Alligator mississippiensis: one gene and its partners. The protein of the gene in region 3 purifies or fractionates together with the protein of the main gene of each other region. This does not show direct contact. Links are inferred from orthologs where the notes say so. Each region holds a gene or a part of one and is shown on either strand. Other genes may lie near its edges.

Region 1 (10,002 bases), on a different chromosome or scaffold from region 3:
TATGCTCAGGACTGCCCAACAGGGCCAGCTCAAGAACCAGCAGAGGACAGGCCCTGGGCAGAGCACTGGGAACTGCTGCACGTCAGAGGGAAAGGGGATATAGCTAAGCTCAGCACAACACTGTCCCATGGGTAGTCCCTCTGGGGAGGTGCGGTAGCAGGAGTCCTGATTGCAGGACAGCAGGGAAACAGTAAACTGCCCTGAGCCAGGAGCCCTCTCAAGGGCTGGGAAGGAGAGGAAATGCCCTGATCAGGCTGTGTCAGGGGCGCCAGCCTGTAGGCCATCTGGCTTTCTAGTGCGGCTGCAACTAAGAGACCTCCCCACCTCAAACCGAGCCAGCTGGACTCCACCCTACGGGGCAGTGAGAACCTGGGCTTTGGGCTGGGGTGCTCCTGTCACTCTTGGGTTCCACACACAGGGCTCACGCTCACCCCGTTCTGGTACTGCATCCTCCCCCAGGGAGCAGAGACCCAGGAGGCCATGGTCCCCCCCTGCCGCTGCAGCATAGCCTGCCCTGTGTTCACCGCTCACCTACCTGTGTTCCTGTCGCCTTTACTCGAGGTCTGGAAAAGAAGGAAGAGCTGCATCAGGACCTACAGGCAGCACGGGGAGCTCTGTGGTATGCTCCCCACAGCCCAGGCAGCCAGCTTTCCCCCCGGGGCAAAAAGCGGGGAGTGAAACGTCCCCAGCATGAGGGCGACTAGTTTGACCACAGAGGAGAAGGAATAGGGCTGGCTGATGGCCTTGCCGCCCCCTTCACACCAGTCTGCCCCTCGACACTCATTCACAGCCTCCCCCTATCCCCCACCAGGGCTTCTCAGTCCCAACCTGCCCCCCCGCACCTGGCCCTGAAGCCTCATGGCCTCAGCTGAACCCCTCAGGTCTGACCCACGGCTCTGCCAACGCCCCTGCCCTCAGCCCCTTGGGAACACCAAGACGTGATGCAAGTACAATGCCAGCACCTGTGAAATATTATGTCAGTCAGAGCACAAGCATCAGCCGCAGGTTCAGAGAGGTAAGCACCCCCCATGCAGCCTCGTACCACTCCCCAGGTTCATTGCGGGTGAGAGGCATATTGCTTTCTCCTTCCCTTCCCTCTCAGCAAGAGCAGCAGCCACCACCCTGACAAAAGGGAACGATGCCCTGATGCCCACAGAGGGAGAGCTCAGCGCTCAAGGGGGGGACCGAAGTGCCAGGGCTGCAGCCCTGGAGCAGAAAAGCCTTTCAGCTGCAGCAGAAGCGAGGTCCTAGAGCAGAGCTGCAGCGCTCAGCCCTCCTCCTCCCAATGAGTCCCGTCCCCATCACAGCCAGGGAAACTGCCCATCTCAGGCAGCCACCGAGGCAGAACTAGACCCCAGCAGCTCCCCTGCAGAGACTGGCAGGCAACCACAAAGGAGAAGCGGGACCATGAGCCCAGAGGTCCAGGAGAGTCCTCCAAGAATGAGGGGGCTTCCTGCTGCAGGGCAGGGCATAGCTGGGTCTCTATCGACGCTTGAATTCCTGCAGCACTTTTCAGCGCAGGCTGCGTGCAGAGTTAAGGGCACGTCTCTGGGGAGCCAGGCAGAGCCGTTCCGAGGTCCTCGAGCCGGCTCCAGCACCAGAAGCAGTGCAGCAATTCAAGCACAGCGCTGCACCAGGCTAGCCGGCTCCATTGGGGTTATGAGCCACTGCCCCCACCTGCAGACTCAGCCCCTTCAGTGCTCAAAGGTGCCTAAAAGCCACCTGCCCTGAACTGCAGCAGAGGGCTGGGTGCCCAAACAGGGCACAGGGTTAGCGCCAGGCCTCCCTAGACCCAGGGCATGGCTGCAAGCAGGGGGTACCTCAGAGTCATGGTTGAGCCTGTAGACGTAGAGCTGCGACGTCCCCGCCACCACCAGGTTGCGCTCAGTGTTGGAGAAGAAGTTGCAGTACATGGAGAACTCCAGCCCCGTGGGGGGGTGCGCCTGCTTGTACACCGCATACATCCCCGCTGGCTCCCATGCACGCCGCCCTGCAACGACACGTGGCTGTCACCTCGGCAGGTCACATCCAGTCTGACCCCTGCTCCAGGCAGACTGTCCCCGACTCGACCAGCCCAGCAAGTGTCTGCCCAAGCGGCTCTTGAAAGCTCCCAAGGACGGAGATTCCCCCATGTCTTTGGGCAGCTGAACCACCCGCAGCATCAGCGCTTTCCTCATCCCCAGCCTGTTTCCCCTGCTGCAGCTTGAAGCCATTCTCCTAGTCCCGTCCCCAACGGCCACAGAGAGAAGCCCATCCCCACCCCCAGGTATCTGAAGGTTGTGATTAAATCCCCCTCCGAGGCTTCTCTTCTCCAGACTCAATGCCCCTCGCTCTCCCAGCCCCTTCTCAGCAGTCTCGTCTCCCTTGATCGTCTTTGCGGCCCTGCTCTGGACTCTTTCCAATCTGCCCACATCCTTCTTGAAGCGCAGGGGCCCAGACCTGGACAAAAAGGCTCCAGGGGAAGCCTCCCCAGGGCTGCACAGAGTGGAGAATCGCTGCCCTTGATGTTCAGGTGTCCGTGCAGCCCAGCAGGAGCCTTGTGCCGGCCTCGTCTCCGCAGCGCCACTCCCCAGCCCGCACCTGCGCGCACAGCTATCCCACCCCAAGTCACGGCTTATGATCGCCTCCTGGATTCCTGCTAATCTCTCTTCACGCCGCCAGCTCCTCCTGATGAAGAACATTTTGCATTTGAAAGCTTGCCTGACACTATCCCAACTACCCAGCTGGGGCAACCCAAGACATCGCCTGGAAAAACCCCCTGCCTCTCACATAACGTCTGGACCATCGCTGCTACAACATCGCTCTCACGCGATCATCCTTCCTCCCGCAGCGATGTCTGCTGGCTGCTCTCTGTAACGTCTCTCATGCATTTCGCAGCCCCGCAGGCTGCCTTCAGCTCTAGCTACAAACCTGAGCTCCCGGGAGCTCGCGTTAACGCCGGTGAGCAAACAACCGGCAGCAAAGCTGCGTCAAGGTGCTCGAGGAGGCAGATTTTGCGCTACACACCTGAAGAAGGCCCCTGTTAGGTTGCGTACATTATGCAGTTAGCGGGCGATCGCACAGTACATTTCGACCGGCCACGCGTGCAAAGTAATCATGACATAAAAATGGACGTCCAGCCACAAAGTGGGCGCTTGAAAATATGTAACAATTCCCGACACTGGTTTCTACGCAGCTTCTGTTGCACGCGTAGCAGGGCTACACGACGGCGATTAGCGAAGCGCATCCGTGGGGGTGTCAATCCCTAGGGCGCCGGATGCCACACCTGGGGGGCAGCCTGGCCACACGGCCCCCGGGCGGGGAAGAGTTAGGGCCCGGCCCAGCTGGATGGTGCTAGGGGGGCCCAATCCGCGGTCCGGCTAGTGGGGGCAGGGCAGGCGGCCAGATCTGTGGGAGGGGCCGGGATCCCAGGGGCGGGGGCACCCACATAGCACCACCCCCGAGACCAGCTGCTTCACCTCAGCACCCCCCGGATCCGACCCCTGCCAACACCAGCCCCTCCCCCTGCAGGCACCAGCACCGCCACCCCCAGACCAACCCCTCCCCCACTCCAAGACTTGCCCCTCCCCCCATAACTGCCCCGCCTTCTGCCCACACCAGCCCCCCACACCCCCTCCAGCTGCCTAAACCTGCCCCTCCCCCCCGCGCGGGCAGGCCCTCCCGGGAGCACCGACCTCCGCCTCATGCACCCGCCGGAAGCCTCCAACCGGCCGCCACCGACACCCGGAAGTACCCGGCTAGAGCGGCAGCGAGCGGGGCGCAAGCCGGGGTCATAGAGCGCGCTGCGGAAGGCGGTCCTCCAGGCCTAGCCACGCCTCCCCGAGCGAGGAACTGTAACCCGGAAGTGCTGGCTAGACGGGCCGCGCCGCGCGGGTAGCGAGAGATCATAGAGGAGGGGAGTCCGCCAGATCTAGCCGCGCCCCCTAGTGGGAGGGGGAGGAGCAAGGGGCGGGGCTGGAGTGTGACGCAGCCGGGCCGGGCGCTGGGGCTGCGCTCACGTGGGGTGTGAGGGGCAGGGCCGGGACGCGGGGGTGCTCTGCCCACGTGGGGTGTGGGGCCGGGCTAGGACACTGCGGGGCTGCGCCCACGTGGGGTGGGGGTGCTGCGCTGACATGGGCTGGGGGGTCTTTCCCAGGACACTGGGGTGCTGCACCCACGGGGGCTCTGGGGGTGCTGGGCTGGGACACTGCGGAGTTGCGCCCACGTGGGCTCCGGGGACGCGGGCCAGGACACGGGTGCTGCACCCATGTGGGCACTGGGGTGCTGAGCCCACGTGGGCCCTGTGGGGTTGGGACACGGGTGCTGTGCCCACGGGGGCTGGGGGGGCCGGGCCGGGACACGGGAGCTGTGCCCACGTGGGCTGGGGGGGCCGGGCCGGGACACTGGAGAGCTGTGCCCACGGGGGCTGGGGGGCCGGGCATGACACGGGTGCTGTGCCCACGGGGGCTCTCGGATGCCGGTCCCGGACGCCCGGGGTTTCAGTGGTGGACTGTTGTGTAACCGCCGTGAGACGGGATTTCAGGGGCAAAGTAGCTCCGACTGGATCTCCCCATGCAGCCCCCACGCGCCTCTGGACCCCCCGCCCAGCCCTGGGGCCCTTCACCCCTGCCCTGCCCTGCCCTGCCCTGCCCTGCCCCTTTCTTCCGTGTCCCTGCTGGGCGCTGCGTGTCTGTCTGCTCCACACTCGTGGCCCACAGCCCCCCGCATCCTGCCCCCCGGCTCCAAGCCCCCCACAGCCCCCCACACCTCCACCGACAACCCCCCGCCCCCCTCCGCACGCACACACTTCAAAAATAGCACCTCATGATTTACAGGTCGATCTATTTTTTAAGTTTGTCTCATGATCTCTGGCACGGCGGGGTTGGCAGTACTGGCTCTGTGCCCACGTGGGCTCTGGGGGTTGGGCCCGGACGCCCGGGTTCTCCACGACAGCGTTGAGTGAAAACTCTTCATTCTCCTCGGTCGCAGGACGTGCAGCCGGTGCCCCCGCCCGTCCCCGTCCCTGTCCCTGTGCCGCGAGCCGGGCAGGACAGTGCCCACAGGGGCCGGGCGGGAGAGAGGTGTCAGGGCGGTGCTGCCACTTGCAGTGGAATAAATTAAATAAATACAGCAGGTCCCATATGCTCCGTGCACACGTGCGTGCATGCACACACATGTGCGTGTTGTCCCCTGGGTCCTGCGACGGCTCCCAGCTTGCCCGTGGCCACCACGTGGCCGTGCCGCCCCCTGCTGCCCCCGCGGGGGCTCAGAGCGTGATGTTTTCCTCGTAGAGCGAGAGCAGCAGCAGCACGGCCCAGCCGCCCACGAGCCCCACGTTGTGCAGCACGAACAGCAGCCAGGGCCGCTCGTCCTGCACGTTCATCATGGCTGGCACCTGCGAAGGGGTAGAGAGGCGTGAGAGCTGCCCCTCGCTCCCAACCTGCAGCCCCTGCCCCCCAGCCCTGCTGGTGCCCCTCACTTCCAACCCACGTCCCCTTTCCCCCCAAGCCCTGCCAGTGCCTCTCCCGACCCATGGCCTCTTCCCTGTCCTGGGCTCTCGGCTCTAAGCAGCACCCCAGGACTGAGGCTCTGTCCCTCCCCGCTGAGCCCTGGGAGCCGGGCCGCTGCTCACCATGTCACACAGGGCCACGTAGAGGAAGAGCCCGGTGGCCACGGTGAAGATCCAGGCCTCGAACTCGGCACTGGCTGTGACCGAGAGCGCGATGTAGAGGCCCAGGAAGGCAGTGAGGGCGCTGCAGAAGTTCAGCAGCAGGGCCCGTTTCACGCTCAGCCCCGCGTGCAGCAGTGCCGCAAAGTCCCCTGCACGGGCGGGGACAGGAACAGGGTTAGGGTCAGGGCCTGGCTGTGCGGCACGGGGCTGGGCAGGGTCCCAGGGTTGGGGTCTCTCGGATGGCTGCCATGGGACTTGGCAGCATGCCCAGGTGGGCTCCTGGGCTGGGTCCCGTGGGGCTGGGCGGCGTCCCTGGGTGGGCTCCCTGAGCTGGGTCCCATGGGGCTGGGTGGCGTCCCTGGGTGGGCTCCTGGGCTGCTTCCCATAGGGATGGATGGTGTCCCCGGGTGGGCTTCTGGTCTGGGTCCCATGGGGCTGGGTGGCGTCCCTGGGTGGGCTCCTGGGCTGGGTCCCATAGGGATGGATGGTGTCCCCGGGTGGGCTCCTGGGCTGGGTCCCATAGGGATGGATGAAGCCCTTGACTGAGGCTGGGGTCTCTGGGTCTCTGTCCCCACCAGGCCCCAGGGTTTCTCCCTGGCCCCTTACCCAGCTCGTGGGGCAGCTCATGGCACACCACAGCCAGCGAGGTGGCCAGCCCGGTCTTCCAGGAGGTAGAGAAGGCGGCGCCCACGGCCAGCCCGTCCGCAAAGTTGTGGATGGCGTCGCCGATGGTGATCATGTAGGGGATCATGCGCAGCTCTGCAGGGCACCGGGGTGTCAGGGCAAGGCTGGGACGTGCTTGCCCCAGTGCCCCAGCAGCTCCGTCGTCCCCTGGGGCCTAGACCCATTGCACCAGGGGCTGGGCCTTGCAAATCGCTATGTCAGCAGCCTCCCCCGCAACAAATGTGTTGGTGCCTCTGTGCGCAAGCCTGTGTGTGTGTGTGCATGCGTGAGGGTGCATGTGTGGGCATAAGTGTACGTGTGTACATGTATGTGTATGTGCAGGAGGCAGATTACGTGCATGTATTTGTGTCCAGGTACATGTACACATGTGCAAGAACGCATGTGTGTACAAGCATGGATGTGCATGTGAACGCACGTGTGTGGGTGCACGCATGTCAGCGGGCACGCGTGACCCCGAGCTGCTGCCCTCCACTACCCGGGGCCCCCACTCACCCCGACTGTACTGTTCCTTGCTGGCCTTGCCCAGACAGGCCTCCTCCGCCCGCACCTACAGGATGGAAGCATGGACAGGTGTGACGCACAAGCTGGCTGCACACGTGTGTGCCACGCTCCAAACACCCTCTGGGCACAGGGGCATTGCCCCACGGCCAAACCCGAGGGGCCAAGTCCCAGGCAGGCATCACTGAATCCATGCCCCTCTATCCACGCCCCTGCTGGCCTGACCCTGGGAGGCTCAGACCATGTCCGTGGGGGCATGCCAGACTGGGGGGCAACCCGTGCCCCTGCTCCCACCCTCCAGGGCATTACCAGGTCGGTCTGCGAGGCGCCTCTGAGTTGCTTGCGCCGCCTCATCTCATCCTGGTAGAGCTGCAGCGACATGGCGTGGTCGCACGTGTGGCCCCCGGCCGACTCCTGCGTGCAACAAGCACCCATCACCCCTGCCCCGCGCCACCCCTGCTGTGCAGCCACCAGGGGGCCTGCGGGGCACAGGGGGCACCCCCTGCTGCACCCCACCCCACAGCACTGCGCCCCCTGCTGGACCCCCCAGCACAGCGGCCCCTGCTGCCCTGTGAGCCCCGAGTTGTAGGGCGAGCCCCCCCGCCCCCCGCCATGGCCCAGCCCCGCACCTGGTGCTCCGCCTGGACCAGGAAGCTGAAGAACTTCTCGAGCAGGAAGAAGGCGTAGATGCCGCCCAGCACGGCCAGCAGCTTCCAGGTGCTGCCTGCGACTGCCGCGCCGTGCTCGTGCCCGTGGCCATCGTCCGCATGCGAGTGCAGGCCCAGGAACTGCAAAGATGGGGCAGGGGCTGGCCTCAGCACCCCTTGCACACCTGATGTGTGCCATGCCCCTCCGTCACCCCCCCGGGCACATGCATCTGCCTTGCACGCGGGCCAAATGGCAGCAAACTTACGTGTACAGGCGTCCAATTGTGTGCACTCCTCCCCCCCCCATGCAGGCTCAGCCCACTTCACACGCTGCACACACACACACATGTACAGGCACACGCAGCCCTGGGTGCAGACAGGCAGCCACATACATGCGCACAGGCAAACAGATGCACCTTCTGCTGCTCTGCGCTCACCCTCAGTCCTGCCTTGCACACTGGGTGGCAGATCACATGCCCACGTGTACACATTCCCACAGCCATGTGCAAGCACACACACACCTACGCCTGCACATGTGCCATCCTACGCATACCCCTTCCCCAGCTAGCATGCACCATGCAGCCATGTGCATATACATGCAAGCATATGTACTGTCTCACACACATAACCCCTTCGCTAGCACGCACCACACAGCCACGTGCATACATACATACACATGTGCCTTCCCATACTCTACCCCCAATCCCTGGCACACAACACACAGTCATGTGTGTTTACATGTGTGCACACATGCCATCCCACACATACACCCCCCTTCCCCAGTACACACCACACAATCATGTGCCTAAACCTGTGCATATGTGCGCCATCCCATGCACCCCCTTCCCCAGCACACACCACACAACATATACATGCATACATACGTATCATCCCACACACACATACACCCCCCTCCTCCGGCACGCACCATGCAGCACGGTGCCTATACCTGCATGCACACGTGCCACCCCACGCCCGCCCCGCGCTCACCTGGGGCACGAGGTGCAGCAGCGCGTCGCCGGTGAGCGAGCCCACGGCCAGGCTGAGGAAGGTCTGGATGACGTACTGGTAGGTGCTGATGCAGGCCGTGCACAGCAGCACGCCGATGCCCATCAGGGCACAAAGGCAGATGACCAGCGTGGCCAGCGAGCCGTAGATGTACTCTGGGGACAGCGGGCGTCAGCCACGGGGGCTGCTCCTTCTCCCCTGCCCCTGCCCCTGCCCTGGTGGGGGGTCTCCTGCCTTGGCATCTGGCCGTGTGACCAGGGACATGCAGCAGCCCCCTAACTCAGGGGCCCAGAGCAGATCAGGCCACTAGAGGCTGGATCGGGGCCCGATCCCCACCCCCAACTCCCATGCCCGGGCTCCCTGCACTCACTCTCAGCCACGCTCAGGCGCCCGTCGCGGTTGCTGCCGGAGCCCGCGGGCAGGCCAGAGCAGGCCCCGCTCAGTTGCTGCTGGAGCAGAGCCGGGCTGAGCCGAGAGAAGTCCTGGCTGGAGATTCCCGTCTGTGCGTCCAAGCCGTAGACCTCCAGGAGGTCCTGGGCGCTCAGGCAGGCCTGGGGAACACAGCCGGGGTCAGCACCAGCTGGGCTGGGCACCGGGGCCCCGGGGTGGCTCCAGCCGGGCTGGGGAGGGCAGCGACCGCCCTGCTCACCGTGTCCCACACGTGGCTGCCGTTGTCCATGTGGTCCGGCTCCGTGGCGCTGAGCCGCAGCCACCCGGGTGCATGCGGCAGCCGGGGGTCCGTGTACTCGGCGTGGTCATGCCCTGTCTGAGCATCGTGATTGTGTCCCGCATGAGTGTCATGGTCGTGCCCCACATGAGCGTCGTGATCGTGCCCCGCATGAGTGTCATGGTCGTGCCCCTCATGAGCGTCGTGGTCGTGCCCCGCGTGAGCATCATGGTCGTGCCCCACGTGGCTGTGGTCCAGGCGGGCCTCGTGGTCCGTGTGGTTGTCGTGGGGGTGGTCGTGGTCCCCGTGCTGAGCTTCGGGCCCCAGCTTCAGCTGCTCCATCAGCGCGGCCAGGCCTGGTGCAAGCCCCGAGCTCATTACACACGGCCCCCACCTGCCTGGCACCCCGCTCCGTCCCACGGCCCCAAGCTGATAGCCTGGGAGTGCCCCTGACACCCCCCCCACCCTGCCACCCCCAACCCCACAGCCCTGCAGTGGTGGGGCCTGGCTCTCATGTGGACATGGGGGTGCCATTTCCGGTGCCCCCAGTTGTGCCGGCCAGTGCCCCTGACTCACCCTCCAATGTTAGGTTCCCCGACCCATTGCCGTAGCGCTGGAAGATGTAGTCCAGGAAGTAGCTGGGTGGGGGCAGCGCGTGGAGGCAGGTCCCCTTCAGCACGTGGTACCCGGCCACGGCCAGCACCCGCCCTGCCATGTTGCGCACCACCTGGGCCGAAAGCTTGGCGCTCTCTTCCAGGATGCGGGATGCGTCCACACACGGCTGGGGGAAGAGCAGCATGTGAGACCCCCCGCTTGAACCAGCCAGCCCCGGGGCCGCAGGGATGACT
Region 2 (10,012 bases), on a different chromosome or scaffold from region 3:
ATTTTCATTAATGCACTTTAGTTCTTTTGCTTCCAATATGGCAGAACAAAACTGGGCGCGTCTACATGTGCATTAACTACTCTGCTGCAGTCAGCCCCCCCCCCCCCCCCCCGTGCAGCTAGTTTTGTAATAGACAGGACAACTAAGGGGTATCACTTACACAGGCCAAAACTAGACCATCTCCCATCTTGCACAACACTCAGATTGGCTGTAAAACAGAAAACTGCTATCAATATTTACTACAATAGATAGTAGGGTGGAGCAAATCATTGAGAGATAGAAAGCGAACAGAGGAAACGAATTACAGCAGTAACGCCAATTTGGACAGGCCTAAATAAGCCATAGTCATAAGTTCAGTTGTGATCTAAAGGCTAAATTTACCCTTGGTGCTGGTGAAGAAGCCAAGCTTAACTTGGTTACAGCTCTAGGTGTGAATTTAGGAGTCTGTTCACCCGCCCTCCCGTGGAACATCCAGACAGCTTCTACTCTGGGCATGTTGCACCCTGGTGGGACATGACTAAAAGCACAGAGCACAAGCTCCACAGGCCATGGTAGGTACGGACAAAGCATTTAAACCAGGGCAAGAGCTGTGCCATAGAACAGGGTGAGCCATTTCAACACCCGCCCTTGGAAACTGCTGGATCTTTGCTAACAACAGCCACTCGCACAGTTCCGACTACCGCAGTTCATTGCAGCTCAAACTAGAGCTGCCCAGCCCTGCAGCAGCCTGTAACAACATTTTGTCTGGTGGAACTGACAAGAACCCTGGAGGACCAAACAGCAGACCAGGAAGGCTCCAATTTCTCTAGAGCTTTTACTAGTGATAGCAGATTTCCCAGAAATACTAACTAGGATTCCCTGGGTAATGGCATCCAAGTACCTCATTAAGGTCCTCCAGCAATAATCCCTCTGAAGGGGAGTTCAAGGAGCAACAAAAATGCTTCAAGAGAACTGAGAAGAGGGAAAACTGGGCCAGCTAATAAGGCAGGAGAAAAGCAGGAATGAGGAACAACATAGGGAGATTTTTTTTTTTTCCCCTGTGGAAATTTTTCGTGTTTCAAGCCAAATCAGCCAGATCAATTCCGAATCCATGAGTCAGTCCAGAACCATAAGTGGCCCCACAACTGGCAAATGTTCCCCTACCTCACCTGGGGCATCAGATGCTTTCAAATCCTTTGGTGGGAATCCTACGTGCAGGCCTAACCCCGGAGGCTTGGGGTTTGGAGGCCCCCAAGTTTTGCTTGCCCTCAGCCATATGGCCCCAGGAGCAAGCTAGCGAGGAGTCTCCCGTTTCCATAAAGTTGGCATAAAACTATATTACCTCTGCAGGTACTACCCCCACGCCAGGAAAACGTTATCCCTGGGTGCAACTAGGACACCACCTTGATGGTCATGGCGTTTCCCCTGCCAGGTAACACCTGAGCTTCCCTAAGCACCACAGAATTTCTCATTTAAAAAAAAAAAAATAATAAGAGAGAGAGAGAGAGAGAGAGAGGTAGAGAGAGAGAGAGAGAGAGAGAGAGAGAGAGAGAGAGAGAGAGAGAGAGAGAGAGAGATCTCCCAGGCCAAATTAGCCAAAACCAATTCCAAATCCAAGAGTCCAGAACCATAAGTGGCCCTACTACCAGCAAACATCCTCCACCCCAACCTGGGGCTTCAGATGTTCCCAAAACCTGGAGGCTTGGGGTTCAGATGCCCCGAGATTTGCTTGCCCTCTGCCATAAGGCTCCAGGGGCAAGCCAGGGAGAAGTCCCACATTCCCATAAAGTGGGCTTAAAGCCAAGACCTTTCCACTCCAGCAGCTAAGTGGGAGGTTTACTATACATTACCTTGGCAGGTGCTAACCCCATGCCAGGACAGCAGTCTTCCCCGGTGTGGCTAGGAAGACCACCTCCACAGTCACAGTGTTTCCCTTGCCAGGCAAGCAGACTATGCTTGATCTGAGCCTTCATGTTCTTCCGTGAATGAAATAGGGAGATAGGATTCTCCTAGAGATCCAAATCCCATGCCAGCCCCAGCGCTGCCTGCTCTCAGGGCAGAGTCAGCAAGGCCAGCAGTGGCCTGACAGCAATGCAAGTGGTCCCACCCCAGCCCAGCAGACAAGGTGTTTTCTTTGTTCTCCCCTCCTATTCTTCTTCTTCTACACCCCTTCCCACCCCTCACCTCACTAAGGAGACCTGTCCTACCGAGGTTAAGAGCTCTGGGCAGGGGCTTTATCTAGGCAGCACCATGCAGGCACCCAGCATGGAGCAAGCAAATAATGAACGTACCTTTTATTTATGGGGGGACGAGACAGGACAGGGACAGGATGACGGGACTCCCTTGTAGCTGATCCCAGGCTAGTGAGGAGAGCTCTACCCAAACTCTAGACAGGCCCAGAGCCTGCCCATACACCATAATCCTTTTTCACTCCAACAGAGAGGAGCCAAAGGAAGGCTCTCTCCTCCTGTCCACACCCAACCCATGTTAACAGTGGGGCCAGAGATCCTAGATCAGTGCACTCAGCCCTGTTTAAGATGCAACACTTCCCTAGACCCTCTGGCATCAGTGTCAAACCCCTGGAGACAGCGTCTTCAGCATCACTTGGTCCGAGGCAAGTTAACTAGACTGAACTCTGGCACTGCCCAAAAAATCTGTACTGGCTCCATCAGCAACCCCAGGGCTAGGAGCTCGGTGCAGCTCTGCCGTTCCGAGACTGGGCGCCGTGCTTGTCCGCAAGGGCCTTCCTTCTGTTAGTAGGAGAGTCCCACAAGAGACACAGCACTGCCTTGCTACCCCCACAGCCACAAAAGACACTGCGGGGGACAGGACAGGCGAGGGGCTGCTCAGGTACATGGAGGGGAACGCCTCCCTCCCCGCCACCCCGCAAAGAGGTTCAAGAAAGCCATCCCCTCGGCCAGTCGCTTCCTGCGCCATCCCCCGCGGCTCTCAGGGGCAGGGTGGAGGCTCTGGCTCCTGCCCCTGCGCTAGGCAGGCTGCTGCCCCGAGTCCGTAGCAGGGCGCCAGGCATTAATTGGGACTTCAGCCCAGCGCCCGGACTAAGGTAGAGCAGACTTCGCTCCATCTTCTGTCGCGGGGTTAGGGGCTCGCAAGATGTTCGGGGAACTCGGCGCGGGCGGGACACAATCCACACAGTGAAAGCTTCCTTCCTACCGGCAAGAAGCGTCTGTCCCTTCCCGTCCCGTCCCGTCCCGTCCCACCCCCTCAGCCGGGCGGAGCACACCCACCCCTTCCCCAGGACGGCGGGTGGGACCGGCGGGCAAGGTCACCACGCAGCCCCGGCTCCGGGCCGGCGCCTCCACCCGGGCGAGGACGGGACCCGCCGCTCCGCCCGAGCGGGCGGGGAGCAGCGGCCCACCCCGAACACCGCCCCGCAGCAGCAGAGCGCCCCGCCCTGCAACCCAGCCCGCGGGGCACCAGACACTGCCCGCTCCCGCGGGGCCGCACGTGGCAGCCCCGTCCCGGCCCCCGCCCGCCTCGCGCCGCCGCCCCCCACCCCGGTACCTGGTCAGGGCGTCCGCGCCCGGCCCCGCCGCCAACGTGTGAACCCACGTGAGGGGCCGCCCTTAAAGGGGCGGGGCGGGGCCGGGCCGAGCCGCGTCCGCCCCTCCCCCGCCCCACCCCACCCCACCCGGCACGTGCCGCCCGGGCCCAGCTCTGCGCGGCGCTCACCCGCGGGAAGGCCATGCGGGCGAGCGGGCAGTCCAATCCCAGCGCCACGCGCCGCTCGGCCCCGCGGGTTTTATAGGCGCCGCCGCTGCGGGCCCGGGGGGCGTCGCCAAAGGGCGGGACTCGCGGCCCCGGCGCCCGTCGTTCCCCGCCCTGCGGCCGCCCCGCGCGGGGCACTTCGCCGACGCTCCCTCAGGGGCTGTTAAAGGGGCCGCAGCCTGGCATCCGCTCCCCGCCTCCGCCCTGCAGCGGCCGCCTCCTGTTTCCCAGACGCGTGTTGAAGTGTGGGGACATGGCGGGCTCCCGCCTGCGAAGGCGGGGGCACAAAAGTGCCTTTATGAAGCCCTTGGCGCCATGGGTGCGCTGGGTGGCTGCCCAGGGCCCAGACAGAAAGGGGGCCTAAAAATGGTGAAAACAATGATTATTATGAAAATAATAATGATTATTATTAGAGGGGGCCCATACTAACAGCTCACCGGGGCCCGCCAGGCGTGCAGGCGCGCTGCTGCTTGGGACTGGTCGCAGGGTTGCCAGGACTTGGGCAGCGAGTCGCCGCAGACGGGGCCGTCCGGGCAGCTGAGACTGGTGTAATTTTCTGACCGCCTCGCCAGAGCAGGGGCCGGCCGCCAGGGCAGGGGTCTCAGCCTTGCTTGCACCAGGACCCATTTGTAAACGTCCTGACCCATGCCCCTCGCTCCCAACCGGCTGCCCCCAGCCCCTGTGTGTGGGGCGTGCCAAGCAGCCCCTCGCAGGCTGGAGCGCTGTCTGCTTGCAAGGGAAAAGCCACGGTTTCCCACATTTTACTCCTTGAATAGAGAATCCATTTTTAAAGGTTGTTCGTGACCCTGCCATATATTCCTGCCACCTGCTTTTGGGTTGTGACCCGCAGGTTGAGCAACACGGCACTGGGTTTAGCTCTGCCTGCTCCAACAGGTAACTGAATCTCATGTGGTTTCCCATGAGCATTTGTTTCATTGGATTCGGTTGGTCCTTCCCGAGACAAAATCAGGCTGTGCAAGCAGTCCGTTGTCCCTAAAATGTCCTATCGCTTCTTATGTTGCTGGTTGGTTGTGTACTGGTACAGGCATCATTGGGAGGCATCTCAAGTGCCATGTTGTTCGGCTGCAAAGGACAGCTGTGCATAGCACGATGCTTAAAATGCTGGCATGGATGCCCTAGCACTTTTACTACCGCTAGGAAATGCTAAAGTAAAAAAAAATCCTAATGTGAATAAGACCTGTGTGTAGCCCCCGGGGGTTACAAGAAACAATGGCCACAAGCTAGCAGAGAGCAGATTCAGATTGGACATTAGGAAGAACTTCTTCACAGTTCGAGTGGCCAAGGTCTGGAACGGGCTCCCAAGGGAGGTGGTGCTCTCCCCTACCCTGGGGGTCTTCAAGAGGAGGTTAGACGAGTATCTAGCTGGGGTCATCTAGACCCAGCACTCTTTCCTGCTTATGCAGGGGGTCGGACTTGATGATCTATTGAGGTCCCTTCCGACCCTAACATCTATGAATCTATGAATCTATGTAAGGAGAAAATCATGGGCAGGTATGGAGATGTGGGGAGGGAAAGGGAATGCAGGTGCTCTGTCAAGCTCCAGCCGTCACATAAACTCCACGCAGGAGACAGTGCTCATGGGAGGCAGTATAGATATTAGAGTCATGGTCCTATATATTCCCTTGTCTCCTTGGGCTCATCACCCCTTTCCTGGGATACAAGTACACTCAGGGCTCTGCTCTCATGAGCTTGGCAGCAAAGGGGCAGGTAGTGGGGGAGGCACTACCCACTTGGTTGTAGTGCCTAGATGAGCATCATTCACAATACATCTTCATCAGGTCATCCTCCCTCTCCTCTCTGCCACCTCCTGCTGATCTCAGTGAAAGAGTCCACAGTGTGCTGACATTTAATGTGGTATTGCTGGGTGTTTGAGACAGCCCCTGTGTGAAACAACAGGTGTGTTCACATCCTTCAGAGTGCTGGCTTTAGGTATCGCTGCATCAGTGGCACTTGGTTCTTGTGTGCAATGGCCTCTCTGCAATGAGAACAGCCAGAGAGGTAAGGGTATTTCCTTTTCCTCGCAAAAACTTAGATAATTGGAGAAGCAGAATTTCAGGCTTCATAAAGAAATGCCAGTGCCCCCTCCCACCATGTAGCAGCTCGATCTGAGCCCACCGCAAAATAATGCATTACCACACAGTGATGACGGGGCTGCAGGTCTGCTGGAGCAGAGCTCCAAGGGGACTTGGAAATCAATCTTTAATGTGCAAGAGCCACCCAGAGACTCCAAGTGCCCCAGGCAGCAGCTTTGCCATTGACTTCACCGAGACTGGGAAAACCCCCCAGATGGGAAAGTGCATTTGATCTCAAAGATGCCCCAGGGAGAACTTCCAAGTCTCTCAGAAACAGGGTCTGTTTACTTTTCCTATCCCTAATAACTCCTGTGAGCTTTTCCTCACTCTCCAGGGTGATGGGTTGAGCAGGAGGGTTTCTCTGTCATCTTCTATCAGGGTTGCCTGCTTGCTTCTTCAGCAGTGAGGCAGGGCAGGTTGCAAACTGTGATTGTTCTGAGGGCAGGGACTGAGACTTTACTGCAGGAGCAATGAGATGGGCAGAAGCAGAGTTGAGCAGAGGGAGCAGACGCTCTTGCTAACACAAAAGGCTGCATTAATAGCAAAGGGAACCCCCTAGTTTATTTTATCAGGGCTGACCAGCTAGGAGGTATTCCCTCTGGGTAAGGAAAGGCATTCTAGGAACACACCGGAATTGGCACGGCTTTCAGGGGCCTCGGAGAAATTGCATCATTTGGGGGACAGAGAGACGTCTGCTGCCATGTCAACGGCTGCCGGGAGGAGAGAGAGACACAAGGGGGGAATTCTCAGCCCCAGTTCAATTTAATGAGGCTGCTGCAGCCTGGTCCAAACCCATGATGTCACTTGAAAGAGGTGTCACAGAGATGGTACTCCAAGGCAATTGCAAAGAGCCTCTCCAGAAATGCAAGGCAGCATAAGAATGGATGATGTCAAAACACAGAGATCAATGAGGTTGCCCTGCAATTCCTTCTGTTTGTAGCATGACACTTCAAGCTGTGCTTGGCTGAAGCCTTCTGAGCTAAGTATTTGTTGAGAACCCATCATGTGCTGCCGGCATACTGTTGTTGGTTCAATAAGAGGCGCTCTTTCCTCTCTGGCATAGAGCCATACCTCCAGCAGGGTGTCCAGGGCAGCATTTAGTGAGCTATAAAACTGAGGTCCTGGCTACTGGACATCATTCAGGACTTTCAAGGAGTTGGGTGCTCTGAAGAAGTCCCAGCTTGGTAACTCCCTCCTCTGATGCCGATGACACACAACACTCTTCTCCTCTGTTTCCTCTGGTTAAGTTCTGGATTTCAGGCAGTGCTTCCCATGCGGACAACAAGATCCTTGTGTAGTTTGCATGATGCCTATTTGCGTGGGTTGAAGAGGGTCATATGAATGTAGGATACTTGTGTTATCATCAACACATATAATATCTTCATACATTTCATAGATATTAGGGCTGGAAGGAACCTCGGAAGATCATCGAGTCCAGTCCCCTGCCCCAGGGGCAGGAAGTCATTAGGGGTCATAGGATCCCAGCAAGATAAACATCCAAATTTCTCTTAAAGGTGTTCAAAGTAGGTGCTTGAACCACCTCAGGCAGCAGTCTATTCCAGACCTTGGGGGCTCGGACAGTAAAGAAGTTCTTCTTTATTTATGTCCAGCCTGAAACAGTCATGACTGTTCGATCTTGTCATCCCTTGGGGTGCTCTGGTGAACAGATATTCCCCCAGATCCTGGTGAGCACCCCTGATAAACTTATAGGTGACCACCAGATCACCCCTGAGCCTGTGCTTTTCCAGGCTAAAGAGTCCCATAGCTCTCAGCCTGTCATCGTAAGGTCTGTTTTCCTGACCTCTGATCATGCGTGTGGCTCTCCTCTGGACTCTCTCAAGCTTCTCCACATCTTTTTTGAATTGTGGAGCCCAAAACTGGACGCAGTACTCCAGCTGCGGCCTCACCAAGGTTGAGTACAATGGGAGAATGACGTCCCGGGATTTGCTTGAGAAGCATCTATGGATGAAAGCCAGCATTTTGGTCGCTTTACTAGCTGCAGCATCGCATTGAAGGCTCATGTTCATCTTATGGTCAATCATGACCCCCAAGTCCTTTTCGTCCATAGTGTTAGCCAGCGTAGCACTGCCGAGCCTATAAGGATGCTGCAGGTTTTTCTTCCCAAGGTGGAGAACCTTGTATTTTTCGGTGTTAAACACCATCAGGTTCTCATCCGCCCATTTGCTGAGCCTGTCATGGTCAGCCTGGATCGCCCTCCTGTCTTCAGGTGTGGATGCTTTGCCCCAAAGTTTGGTGTCATCGGCAAACTTGGCCAGTCCACTTCTGATACCAATGTTCACATCATTAATGAAGATGTTGAATAGTGTTGGCCCAAGGACAGAGGCTTGAAGGACCCCACTGGTCACAGCGCACCACGATGATTAACTTCCTTCAACCACCACCCTCTGGGTCCGACCACGGAGCCAATTCCCCAGCCAGTGGATCGTGGTGAGGCCAAGGCCACAGTTAGCCAGGAATCTTGTTGGATTCCTTAGCAGTTTCCTATGTTTGTACACACACTGGCACGCGCCACAAACCTAGGGAATAACAACAACAACAACAAAAACAACAACACTAAAGCAACAATGATGCTGATGGTGAGGAAGGAAGGAAGGCAGGCAATTTGCCCAACTATAGCATCACCTGTCTGCAGACAGCCGAGTGCCAGACAGCCATGAGTGAGCAGTGCCTCAGACCACAGAAAGGTATCTTTATTTTCATAGTCCTTATGGAGAAACAGACACAGAGAGAAAGGAACTTGTCCGAGGCCACAGAGCTATTACCTGGCTGAGCTGCAGCATGGAGCTGCATCTCCTACATCCTGAGCTCATGCTTGAAGTATGAGACCATCCTCCCCCTTTGCTGCAAATGAATATTCAGGTGGATATGACACAGCTAGCTTGGGAATTCACAGCATATGCTGGGGCCAGGACTTGCTTTATCTATTTAGTGTCCATCTGTTCATAGCCCACATAAATCCTTCACCACTAGGACTCTAAGGAGCAATGTACCTCCTCCTTATGAATTGCCCTGCGTAAGGAAACAAGGATACAACTTCTGGACACCGTGGGGCCTCCCTTCCCTTCATCTGTGACCCCATCCCACTCCAGCCCATGTCCCTCCCCTCAAAGCCCACCCACCCTTCCTAGCGTACACATTGCCACTTTGAAGACGTTCCTCCACTCCTGGGGGAAGCCACGCTTCCTTTTCCTACCCTCCCCATTGGCAGCTGGTGTGCCCTTTAACATTGCTTTAGGCTCCATGTCTGGAGCTGCCCATTCCCCTCAGCTCTGCTTTGGGTTTCTGTCATCTTCATGGTAGGCCTGAGAAGCAAGGGAAGGCAGGGCTCTCTGGCTTGGTGAAGAGGTGTGTAAATGAGTTGTTCCTTCAAGCCATGAAGCCTTGTGCCCTTCCCTAGGCTTCTGCACAACCAAGGCTCTGCCAGGACTGAAATTACAGTAAGGGAGTCAGCTCAGCCCTTCACTGCCCTGCACATTTACACTGCAGGGGCTGCAACTCAGGCAGTCACACCTGAGTGATGTTTAAACCAACTAGCTCAGGGGCAGCTAGGATAGCCAGGGCAGTATAGAGCTTAGCTTGGGATGAAACCTTGCTCAGGAGCCTGGGTGAGTGTTTTGGTGGCAAGACTGTGCTGGACATCCTGCATCCAGAGTTATACTGCGTGTGGTACCCCAGCGAGCCAGGGTAAAGGGAGCTCGGGTTCAGTGACACAAGCTGCACTTGTCTGCATTACACTGCATGCCATTGTTCCCTACCGAAACCCATCAAGAGGCCCCAGGAACCTGACAGTATGGGACAAGTCCTGTGATGTCTCAGTACAGTATGTTCCTAGGGAACATGCATTGCTTTAGTGGTGTCCCCAGTGTGTGTGTGTGTGTGTGTGTGTGTGTGTGCGCGCATGTGTGTGTGTGTGGAGGTTGCAGAGTGTGTGACTGACATCAGACATCTCTACCTGGAGAGCAGCATGAGTTGGTGATGTGGACACTATGCTAGGAACCCACAAACTCACCTTTCCTTGCTGATCCTCCATCTCTCTATCTGGAAAATGGAGACCGTGGTGCCTTTATGAGAAGCTCAGGTGCTAAATATTATCACAACAGACAAGCTCTTATCATGACTCAGGGCAGAAGAGCTCATCAGAGTGAGTCCCAGACAGTCACCAACCAAAGTAATGTAGTGGGTGGTGCAGG
Region 3 (9,192 bases):
TCATGAGGGGGGATAAGGGATGCTGTCAGGGTCTGGGGGATCCTGAGCCAGGGGTCACACCAGGGTTCCCGAGGGGTCTGGGGTCACACCAGGGTCTCCACTGAAGTGAGACTCACTGTACTTGATGTAGGGGTGGTCACGGGGCACACGGTCCAGGCTGACGTCACCCTCGTGGCGCCGCGGCACATCCGAGTCGGGCAGACGCGGTGAGAGTGTGATGATGAAGGCCTCCACAAACTTGATGGCGTGGGTGCGCACGCCATCATTGTCTGAGTCTAGCAGCAGGATGATGTCAGCCGCCATGACCGACACCATGTCCCAGCAGGCCTCCTGCAGCTCATTCAGCGCCCGTGACTTCACCATCCACTGCCGGGACCGTGGGGGGTGGAAACGGGGTGTCAAAGCCCCCAGGGGCAGGCTGGAGCCCCTCTCCGGCCGTGGCTCACACAGCAGACAACACCCTGCTGTCAGCTCCTACCCTCACAGCTGGGACCAAAGGGGCTGGGAGACCACCCCAGCACTCCTGCTGGGAGACGCCCCCCTCCCCCCTCAGGCAGATCCTACCTCTGAAGCACCCAACATTGAGAGGACCCCCCTGCCCAGGCAGATCCTGCCCCCCAGCACCCCCTGCTAGGAGACCCCCCCCCAGACAAATCCCACTCCCCCCAATCAGCAGCACCCTACAATGGCCATACCTGCAGTGCCACCTTGTAGAGCTGGGTCATGGTGAGGATGGCCTTCTTCACCACGTTCACGTTCTCATCCTTCAGCAGCATGTTCAGGTTGGCGATGAGCTTCAGCAGCAGCTCAATGTCACGCTTGCTGAGGGGTGGCAGGTTGGGGGGGTGGGGGGGGAGGCGTCAGTGCCTACAACTGCCCTCCTGCAGGTAGCAGGGTGAGCCTGGACCTCAGGAAAAACTTGGGCAGTGTCCGAGCAGGGAGGCAGGGGACAGGCGCCAGGACAGGAGGGACACTCAGTCACTGCAGGGCTTTGTGGGGGGGGCAGCTGCTGGTGTGGGGTGATCCAGGCAGAGTGATGCCCATGCTCTGCTCTGGGGATGTCCCAGGCTTCTGGGCTCTGCTGATTGTTGCAAGGGGCTGGGAGGGCACTTAACCCCCTTCCTGTTGTTGCTCTAGGTGTCACGGGGTTTTTAAGCCCCCCCACCCGGAGGTGCTGGGTGCAGGGCTGGGGACTGGGCTGTGCCAATGTTCCTGCCGGCACCATCCCCACAGGGTCCTGGCTGGAGAGTCTTGCCCCTGCACTCAGGCTCAGCCCCACGCTGCACTGGGGCAGGAAGAGATTACCCTCCTGCTCAGACCAGTTCGCACTGGGGGTTTTTGCCTTCCCCTGAAGCAGGGGCACAGCCTCGACCTCGGCTCTGTAGCATCCATGACCCCCTGGAGGCAGCAGGATGTTGGCAGCCACAGCCCCTCCTGCTTTCCTGAGGTCAGGGGTGGGGGTGAGGTCCATGCTGACGGCTGTGTTGCTCCGAGGTCCGATGCTGGGTTTGTCTGGGCTGGCTTGGACGGGGCTGATCCTGCCTCAGACCAGGGCTTGGACTAAATGTGACCTCAGGGGGGTTCCATCCACCCCCAGTGCTCTAGGATTAACCAGCCTCACAGCAGCTTCCCCCTAGACCCCTGGGACTTGGATGGAAACTGAGGCATGTGGTGCTTGAAGGCTGAGGCTGAGCCAGGAATCCAGGCTCCCAAGCCACCTGCTCTCTCCCCAGACATGTCCCTAGCCCCCTGCCCTCACTGCCCATGCAGAGCTGGGGTCTTAGCAGCACCTCCCCTCCTCCACCTCCACTGCCGTCACTAACGAGCATGCCAACCTCCAAGCCCAGACTGCTAGCTTCCTGGCTGAATTCCCAGGGGAATCGCAGCCTGGGTCCCCCAGTCCAGTGCCACTCGTCCCTTACCAAGCCTCCTCGATGAAGCCCACGACGAACTTGCGCACCTCCACGGACTTGTCAGCCTGGAAGGCGATGATCTCCTGCGCGGGGGGGAGGGTGCAGGGGGGGGCTGTTGGTGGCACGCGGGGGGGTGCCCAGAGCTGCCCAGCAGGGCCGCACCATGTGGGGGAGAGGGGGCAAAGGGCCGAGCTGCCAGCTCTGTGCTGGGCAGACACCCCACAACCCCGGGACAGTTGCAGGGCAGACTGGCGATAGCTGGACCCCCGTGGTACCCCCCGCAAACACACAGCGGTGATGGGGCCATGGGGCATGGACACGCCAGGCTCCTCAGGCCTGCCCAGGGTGCCTGGCGACTCACGTCCAGGAAGTTGTCCAGCAATGTGGGGTCCTTGTTGATGATGAGCTCCTGGACCTGTAGGGAGGGGGATGGGGACAGGGACAGTGGGGGGCGTTATACAGCCAGCTGGGGCAGGCACCAGTGCCACCCACTCCCCCACTGCACACGGGTCTGCCATGATGGGCTGGGGCCTTCCAGTCCGGGAGAAGGCCTAGGACTAGAGCCAAGGAAGGGGGGGGCATCTTCAGGAGAAGGAATACGAGACCCCCCTCACCCCCAGGTTGAGACCCCGGGCTCTTGTCCCCCAGGCCGGGGCGGCTCTCCACACACCTGCTTGAGGATGCTGATCTTGGAGTCATTGCCAATGAGGGCGGCCTGGTTCAGCAGATCCACGACCTGCCAGGGACAGGGGCAGGTGAGTCCCGGGCACCCAGAAGCCCTCCTGCCACCTCAAAGCTGGGGGCTTGCACACCCACCCCGCCCTCGCCTGGGGGAATGACCCTGCGCCTCCCCCGTCGTGGGTGCTGGCAGCAGCAGAACAGCAAGGGCTCCACGCAGCACCGTGCACGGGCACGTAGACACCGGGCCCTGACACCACGTGTCCTGCACCCCTGTGGCCGGGCAGGAAGGGGGGCAGACTGCACGCGTGCCCAGGTCCCCCAGGTCGGGGGGCCGACTGTCGCCCACACGGGCTGCCGCAGTCCCACGCTGCCGGGGATCGTATCGGAGCCCACGGGAGCGGGCCCGGCGCACCCGGAGCTGCCCGTGCGTAGGCCGGGAGTCCGGCTGGCTGGCACAGGCCCCCGGCAGAGCAGGCCGCGGGGCCCAGCCGCAGGCGTCAGGGAGGCACCGAGCCGGAGCCGGAGCCCGCGGCCGCGCACCCGCTCCGAGGTGGTGGTGCTGTCGATGCCGCTGCCCTCCTCCTGCGTGAAGAACTGCGAGGCCACGCTCATGCGGGCCGTGGCACCGTCCCCAGAGCTGCTGGTGCTGGCCATGGCGCGGGGCTGGCCCTGCGAGCCTCTCAGCTGAAGCTGCTAATGAACCAAACCAATTAGTGCCTGGCCCTTGCCCCGAGACCCCGCGCCCGCGGTGGAGCCCAGGCCTGACCCCCCAAGGCCCCCCTCCCCCAACCCGGGGCTGCCCCTGCCCCCACTATGCCCCCAACCCCAGCCCAGCCCCCCACTCCACACTCTCGCCCCCCAGGCCGCAGCCCCCTGCCCCTGCCCCTGCCCCCACCTCCACCTCACGCGCCCTCGCGCCCAGCGCCGCCTCCCGCCGCCATCTTCCGGCCCGGCCCACACACACTGCGCAGGCGCGCGCCGCGCTGCCTCCTGGGAAATGTAGTCTTCCCGCTCGCTCCTTTGCCCCGCCGCGCTGCATGCTGGGATCCGTCATCCGCGGAACTGCGGGGTCACGGAGGTGCCCTTTGACCCCCGTCTTCCCCTGCCGCGATTGGCTTGGACACCCTCCCCCCACTTTGATGCGTTCTCACCCTAGCCTTGACCCCTGACCCCAGTGCCTCTCCTGCCGCCAGCCCCTCCGGTGGCACACGTAGACTCCTGCACATCCCCCGCCCCGTGACACACGAGCCCCTCCCGTGGCACACGCACAATCACGCACACGTGTGCACCCCCCCACGCAGGGTGGGATTTCATGGCTGGCACACGCGTGCACTCGGGTGTAGACACGTCTGCTGGACGCACTCCCGCGCACGCCCCCTCCCTGGCAGCCCTCGCCCCAGCGCCGCGTTGTCTCCAGGCCTTGGCCCTCGGCTGCTCCCGCCGGCGGCAAACACAGCTGTCATGTCCCGGCTCCGGGCAAAGTCCACGCCTGGCGTCTGCTGGGGCACAGTGGGGGAAAGGTGCCTCCCGCCCCCCGGGGCCTGGGGCCGCCCCAGGGCTGGGGGCGCGGCTCCCCAACCCACCGCGAGCGCCGCCCACCACAGGGGAAGGGGGCCCGGGCACCCGGGTCCCCCCGCGGCCGCGAGAGGGGTGATGTCGAGAGCCCGGACGCCCGGGTTCTGTGAGCGGCACCGCCGCAGGGTCCTGTGGGACCGAGAGGCCTCTCGCCCCGTGCCTCAGTTTCCCCTTTCTGTGGCCTGTGTGGGCGGGGTCGGTGTAAGCTTGGCCCAGGTGGGGGCACCCTCACCTTGTGCTGGGAGAGGGGGAGCAGGCCCCAGACTGCCCTGCCCCAGGGCGGAGCAAGCAGGCAGGAGCTGGGGGGGGTGGGGAGGTGCAGCTGTATCAGTGAGGCCCTTGCAGCTAAGTGAATGAAGGCGTGCCAGGTGTGCGAATGTGCGCACAAGTGTGCGGGGAGGTACAAATGATGGGACACAGGGACTGGGGTGCAAAGCATGCGTGGGCACAGGCATGCAAAGCAAGAAGGGGTGTGCAAAGGTGTTCAAGGATGCAAAAGTGTGAGTGTGCACAGACAAGCGCGCAAAACGAGTGCGAGTGTGCATGGATGTCCAAGGGTAGGTGTGCAAAATGAGGGTGACTGTGTATGGGCATGTGAGGGCAGGTTTGCAAAGCAAGCGTGAGTGTGCACAGGTATGCAAGGAGAGGTGCACAAACCAAACATGAGTATGCATGGGTGTGCAAGGACAAGTGCCTAAAGCGGGTGTGGGTGTGTATGGGCATGCAAGGACAGGCGTGCAAAGCAGTGGTAACTGCATGGGCAGGCAAGGATGGGGGTACACACGTGAGTGAGCACAGATGTGCAAGGACAGGTGTGTGGAAGTGAATGGTGGTGTGCCCAGCTGTGCAGAAGTAAGTGTGAGCATGGCCAGGCGTGCAGGGGCGTGTGTGCATTGGGGCGTGTAAGTGCGTGCAAGGGTGAGAACAGCATAACAGGCACAGGTGTGCAAGGTGAGTGTGCATGAGGGCGGGTGGAGGTGTTCACTGAGCCCAAGCGGAGGGCGGGGGGAAGGCAGCAAAGTGCTCCAGCGAGCTCCCTCCTGCCCCCACCAGGGGGCGCTGCTGCCCCGTGGGGCAACTCCAGCGACTGGGGGAACCATCCGGGGGCATTTGCTCCAGTGTGGCCTGGGCCGGGGCCGGGGCCGGGGCCCGGGCCGGGGCAAGGGCCCGGCCGGGGGATTGAGCCCAGGGGGGCGGCGCGGCTGGCAGTCATGGGGGGCTCCGGGCGCTGCGGCCGGGTGGGGCCGCGTCCCACCGCCGCCACCGGCTGCTCCTTATCGGGCGTCCTTGGCCCGCACCTGCCCGCGGTGCCACCGGCTACTCATTAACCAGGACTTCCTGTTGGCCCGGGGGGATGCACCAGGAGGGGAGGAGGGCGCCAGGGCAGGGGGTGCCTGGGGGGCCTCTCCTGGCACCACAGGCACCAGTGTGGGCGGGGGGAAGCAGAAAGGGCCCGGGGCACTGGTGCCAGCCCCCCCACGCCGTGCCGGGGCCCCGGTGCCGGCCGTGGCTCCCCAAGGGCCGCGGGGCGTAGCAGCTCCTTCCTGCCGGCCGGGCCCGGCTGTAAAATCATCACAAACAGCTTGTAAACGTCGGAGGTGTTTCGGGCGGGCGGGTGGGGGCCGGCTCCGCACAAAGAGCTCCGTGTGCCAGCTGCCCGGGGGGCATCGATCGGGGCAGGGGTCTGGCCGGGGTCCCTGCTCGGCCCGGGGTGTGGGGCCCACAGCGGCAGGACTCGCTGCTGACACCAGGGGCTTTGGAGGCAGCGGGGTGGGTCCCGCAGGGGCGTGGGGCCAGGCACAGCCCCTGGGGTACTACCCCGCCAGGCTCCTGGCCCCTTGCCAAGGGGTCCGGTCACCTGCACCCCGCTTCGGTTGACCCGGGTGGGACAACATGGCTGCCCCGGGATGCAAGGGATGCTGGGAATATCGGGGGGGGGCGGGAAGGGTCGTGCCAAACAAAACGGTGGTGACAACTCTCCAGGCCCCAAGGGACTCTGGGAGGAAAAAGACCCCCCCCCGCCCCCCCCAGGATCATGGCTGCTGGTACAAAATGGCTGGTTGCGGGACCCCAGGGGATGGCAGGGCCTGGCCTGGCCCAGGGGGGCAGCTCCAGGACAGAAGGGACCCCCCCAGTTCGTGGGGGTGGCTTCCGGCCATGCTGCCAGGGTGCGGCCCAGCACTCGTTAACCATTAACCCCCGGGTTGGCTAAGCGCCGTCCTGCCCCCGGCTGGTGCTATCCTCCCTGCCCCTGGGCCAGGCCGGGGCCGGCACTAGCTGGGTTCGGTTCCGACCCGGCCTGGCCGGAGCTGGGCTCCCCTCCCCGCCTGCACGCACAAATGTGCGGCCGGCCGCACCAGGCGCTGTACGCACCGGAGCCAAACACAGACTCCTGCTCCGGGGGGCTGTGGGGGGCGCAGCTGTGGGGCAGCCTCAGCCCAGAGGTGCCCCCCACCGCCCCTGCACCCTGGCTGCTCAGACCCCCCCAAGGCAGCAGGGATGGAGCAGGGCCTGGAAACCCAGCTCGGGTGAATCAACGCCGCCTTCTTCTCCCCGCGCCCCCCCCACCCCGGGGCCGTCTCAGTGTCCCGCTGTCTCACACCTCGGGAGGAAGCTGGCAGGGCGCACAGGAACACCTTTATGCTCAGGGCCGGGCCGCGCTCCCCACCGCCGGCCCAGCGCCCCGGCCACAAAGGCCCGAGTGTTCGGAGCCGTGCCCCCGCCCCGCGCGCGCGGCCGGCCTGGCAGCCCCTGGGCCCCGTGTTGACTCAGGGATGTATGGATATATATAACCCGCCGGGCGGGCGGATGTTTTCAGGGAAGCCGCGAGGATGTGAGGGCGGCTGCGTCGGCAGCGGCCCAGCGCTGCACACACGGCGGCTTGTTCCCCCCCAGCCCTCGCCTCTGCTCCAGGGCTTTTTCCCAGCTCAAGGTGTTCCCCAGCCCTTTCCCGGAGCCGTGGGGGCAGGGGTCCCGGCAGGGGGCAGGTCCTTGCTGAACCCGAAAGGAGCGGGCTGGTTGCCCCCTCCCAGTAGGAGGCGCTGTTCTGCCCCGTGCCGGGGCAGTAAGAGGTACTGCCTCCCCCAGCCACGCTGGACAGACATCCTGCCACGTGGATGAGCGGGATATCACCAGCGTTGCCAAACCCAGTGGGGCTTGGGGGCTCCCCCCCCCGTGCCCCTGCTCCGCTTTACGGGTGGAAGGTGGGGGTTCCTGGGGGGGGAGGGAGGCGGGCGGTGACGGGGCCGGGGTGGCAGTGACGGAGGCCGCGGGCACTGGGAGCTGCAGCCGTGTGTGCCGGTGTCAAAGGGGCCATTGTAGTCTCGCCCAGAGCCGTGGCCCCGGCGCGCCAGCCGCGGGGCGAGGGCAGGCTGTCGTGCCCTCCTGCTGGTTATTTATAACCTCCAGCAGGTATTCCACGTCCCCAGCCCCCCCCCGCTGCCCGGCCCGAGCAAAACTCACCTGATCTGCCTGGCCGTGCCCATGCCAAGCCCCCGGGAAGCTGGGGCTGGGCTGCCTGGCGCTGGCACGGCCCCGCCACCTGCCTCCCTCCAGATGCCCTGGTGTGGAGCACAAGGGAGACCCCAGCTGGGCCCTGGGGTTGGGGTCACGGAGCCCCCTCTGCATGCCTGGCAGGCGTGCGAGGGTGTGAGGGATTATGCCTCCATGTGCACACAGGCAGCTACATGGGTGAATCTCAGCATGCCCGGGACTGGGTTTGTGTGCATGTCTGGAATAACATGCAAATGTGCAGCTGTGTGATGAGATGTGTGTGGATGTGAGTGTAAGCCATGTGTGTGCTGAGCAGGGTGTGACAACGGGGGTGGCTTTGTGTGATGGCGTGAGCATGCAGACATCCCTGGGGAACTCGGGGTATGCACATGCGCACACATACACACACGTGTATGTGCCCGGATGTGCATGAGCACATGAGTGGGATTACAGTTGTGTGTGACTGCATGGAGGCATGCAGATGTGTGCATGACCACGTGCGTGTGTGTAAGCCCACATGCCTGTCACTCTATGAGCGGGTGTGTAGAAGCCCACAAGCGTGTAGTGGGGCCACTCTGCACAGGTGTGTGTGCACAAGCACGTCCATCTGTGAGGCATGGCACCCCAGCTGCCAACCCCATGGCCCGTGGCAGCCCCAGGGGTGGGCATGGGGAGCTCCCTGGGCACCTGCTGGGGCTGGCGTCGTCCTGCCCCACAGATCCGGGGCGGACCCGGGCGGGCGGGTGGTGGGGCTTGATGCAGCTGGCTCAGGCGCGCCCCAGGGCTTGGCTCTGTCCCCATGGCAGGCGGGGCCCGGTCACACGCAGGTTCCCTGGGGAGCGGGGCCAGGCGTGTCCGGGTCCCGGGCGTTCCCCAGGATCCCTGTGTTTGCCCTCGTGCCTGCGGGGAGGGGCCTGGCAGGGAGCAGTCAGCTGCGGCTGGGAAGGCCCTGGGGCACAGAGCCCATGGGGCGGGGGAGGATGGGGGGGCATTCCCACACCCCCCTTGGATAACTGTGGAGGCAGGGCAGAGACATGGGCACCTCCACCACTGTCCTGCCCTGTCCCCCCCAGCTCAGACCAGGAGGGAAACTGGGATGACCAGCCCAGGGCTGGGGTGGGGCACACACTCTGGGAGCTGCATGTCCCAGGGGCCTCTGGGCGTCCGTCATGGTGTCACAGCACAAAGAAGGTCAGGAGTGCAAGTGTGGACGACTGTCACTGTCCCGGGGCCTCTGGGCACCTATCATGGTATCACAGCACAAGGGTGGGGGTGTTCATATGTGTGCATGTGTACATGTGTGCGTCATTGCCCTGGCTGCCTGTCACAGTATCCCAGCAGAAGGGGATACACATGTGTGTATGTATGCGTGTGCATCACTGCCTGTGTCCGAGTCCCAGCTGGTGTATCAGTGTCTTGGTGTGTCTGTTTCACAGCAGGCGAGTGTATGCGTGTGTGTCTGTGAGTGCTTTGCAGCATGCATGTCGATGTCTCATGGCATGTGTGTTGGGTCCCAGCAGGTGTGTTGGGG

What was found.
Region 1: the proteins of SYMPK (region 3) and CPSF1 fractionate together in Homo sapiens (co-fractionation; 5 studies listed by BioGRID and IntAct, with this or other methods). This does not show direct contact. The link is inferred for Alligator mississippiensis from reciprocal best matches to the Homo sapiens genes SYMPK and CPSF1.
Region 2: the proteins of SYMPK (region 3) and CPEB1 purify together in Homo sapiens (affinity purification with mass spectrometry; 3 studies listed by BioGRID and IntAct, counting the BioPlex papers as one, with this or other methods). This does not show direct contact. The link is inferred for Alligator mississippiensis from reciprocal best matches to the Homo sapiens genes SYMPK and CPEB1.

The regions. Positions count from the first base shown.
Region 1 is NC_081826.1:1,525,765-1,535,766, forward strand, and holds the start of CPSF1 (cleavage and polyadenylation specificity factor subunit 1), read right to left. Parts: upstream 3,779-10,002; 5' UTR 3,675-3,778; intron 1,991-3,674; 5' UTR 1,965-1,990; coding exon 1,821-1,964; intron 564-1,820; coding exon 536-563; intron 1-535. Other genes in the region: SLC39A4 (zinc transporter ZIP4), read right to left, coding at 5,246-5,374, 5,612-5,799, 6,257-6,409, 6,827-6,881, 7,142-7,246, 7,462-7,620, 8,470-8,642, 8,858-9,038 and 2 more. UniProt on the Homo sapiens protein: Component of the cleavage and polyadenylation specificity factor (CPSF) complex that plays a key role in pre-mRNA 3'-end formation, recognizing the AAUAAA signal sequence and interacting with poly(A) polymerase and other factors to bring about cleavage and poly(A) addition.
Region 2 is NC_081834.1:46,027,437-46,037,448, forward strand, and holds the start of CPEB1 (cytoplasmic polyadenylation element-binding protein 1), read right to left. Parts: upstream 3,779-10,012; 5' UTR 3,688-3,778; coding exon 3,673-3,687; intron 3,574-3,672; exon of another isoform or gene 3,505-3,573; intron 1-3,504.
Region 3 is NC_081838.1:442,054-451,245, forward strand, and holds the start of SYMPK (symplekin), read right to left. Parts: upstream 3,664-9,192; 5' UTR 3,649-3,663; coding exon 3,490-3,648; intron 3,288-3,489; coding exon 3,135-3,287; intron 2,650-3,134; coding exon 2,584-2,649; intron 2,329-2,583; coding exon 2,275-2,328; intron 1,997-2,274; coding exon 1,923-1,996; intron 823-1,922; coding exon 696-822; intron 367-695; coding exon 117-366; intron 1-116. UniProt on the Homo sapiens protein: Scaffold protein that functions as a component of a multimolecular complex involved in histone mRNA 3'-end processing. Specific component of the tight junction (TJ) plaque, but might not be an exclusively junctional component. May have a house-keeping rule.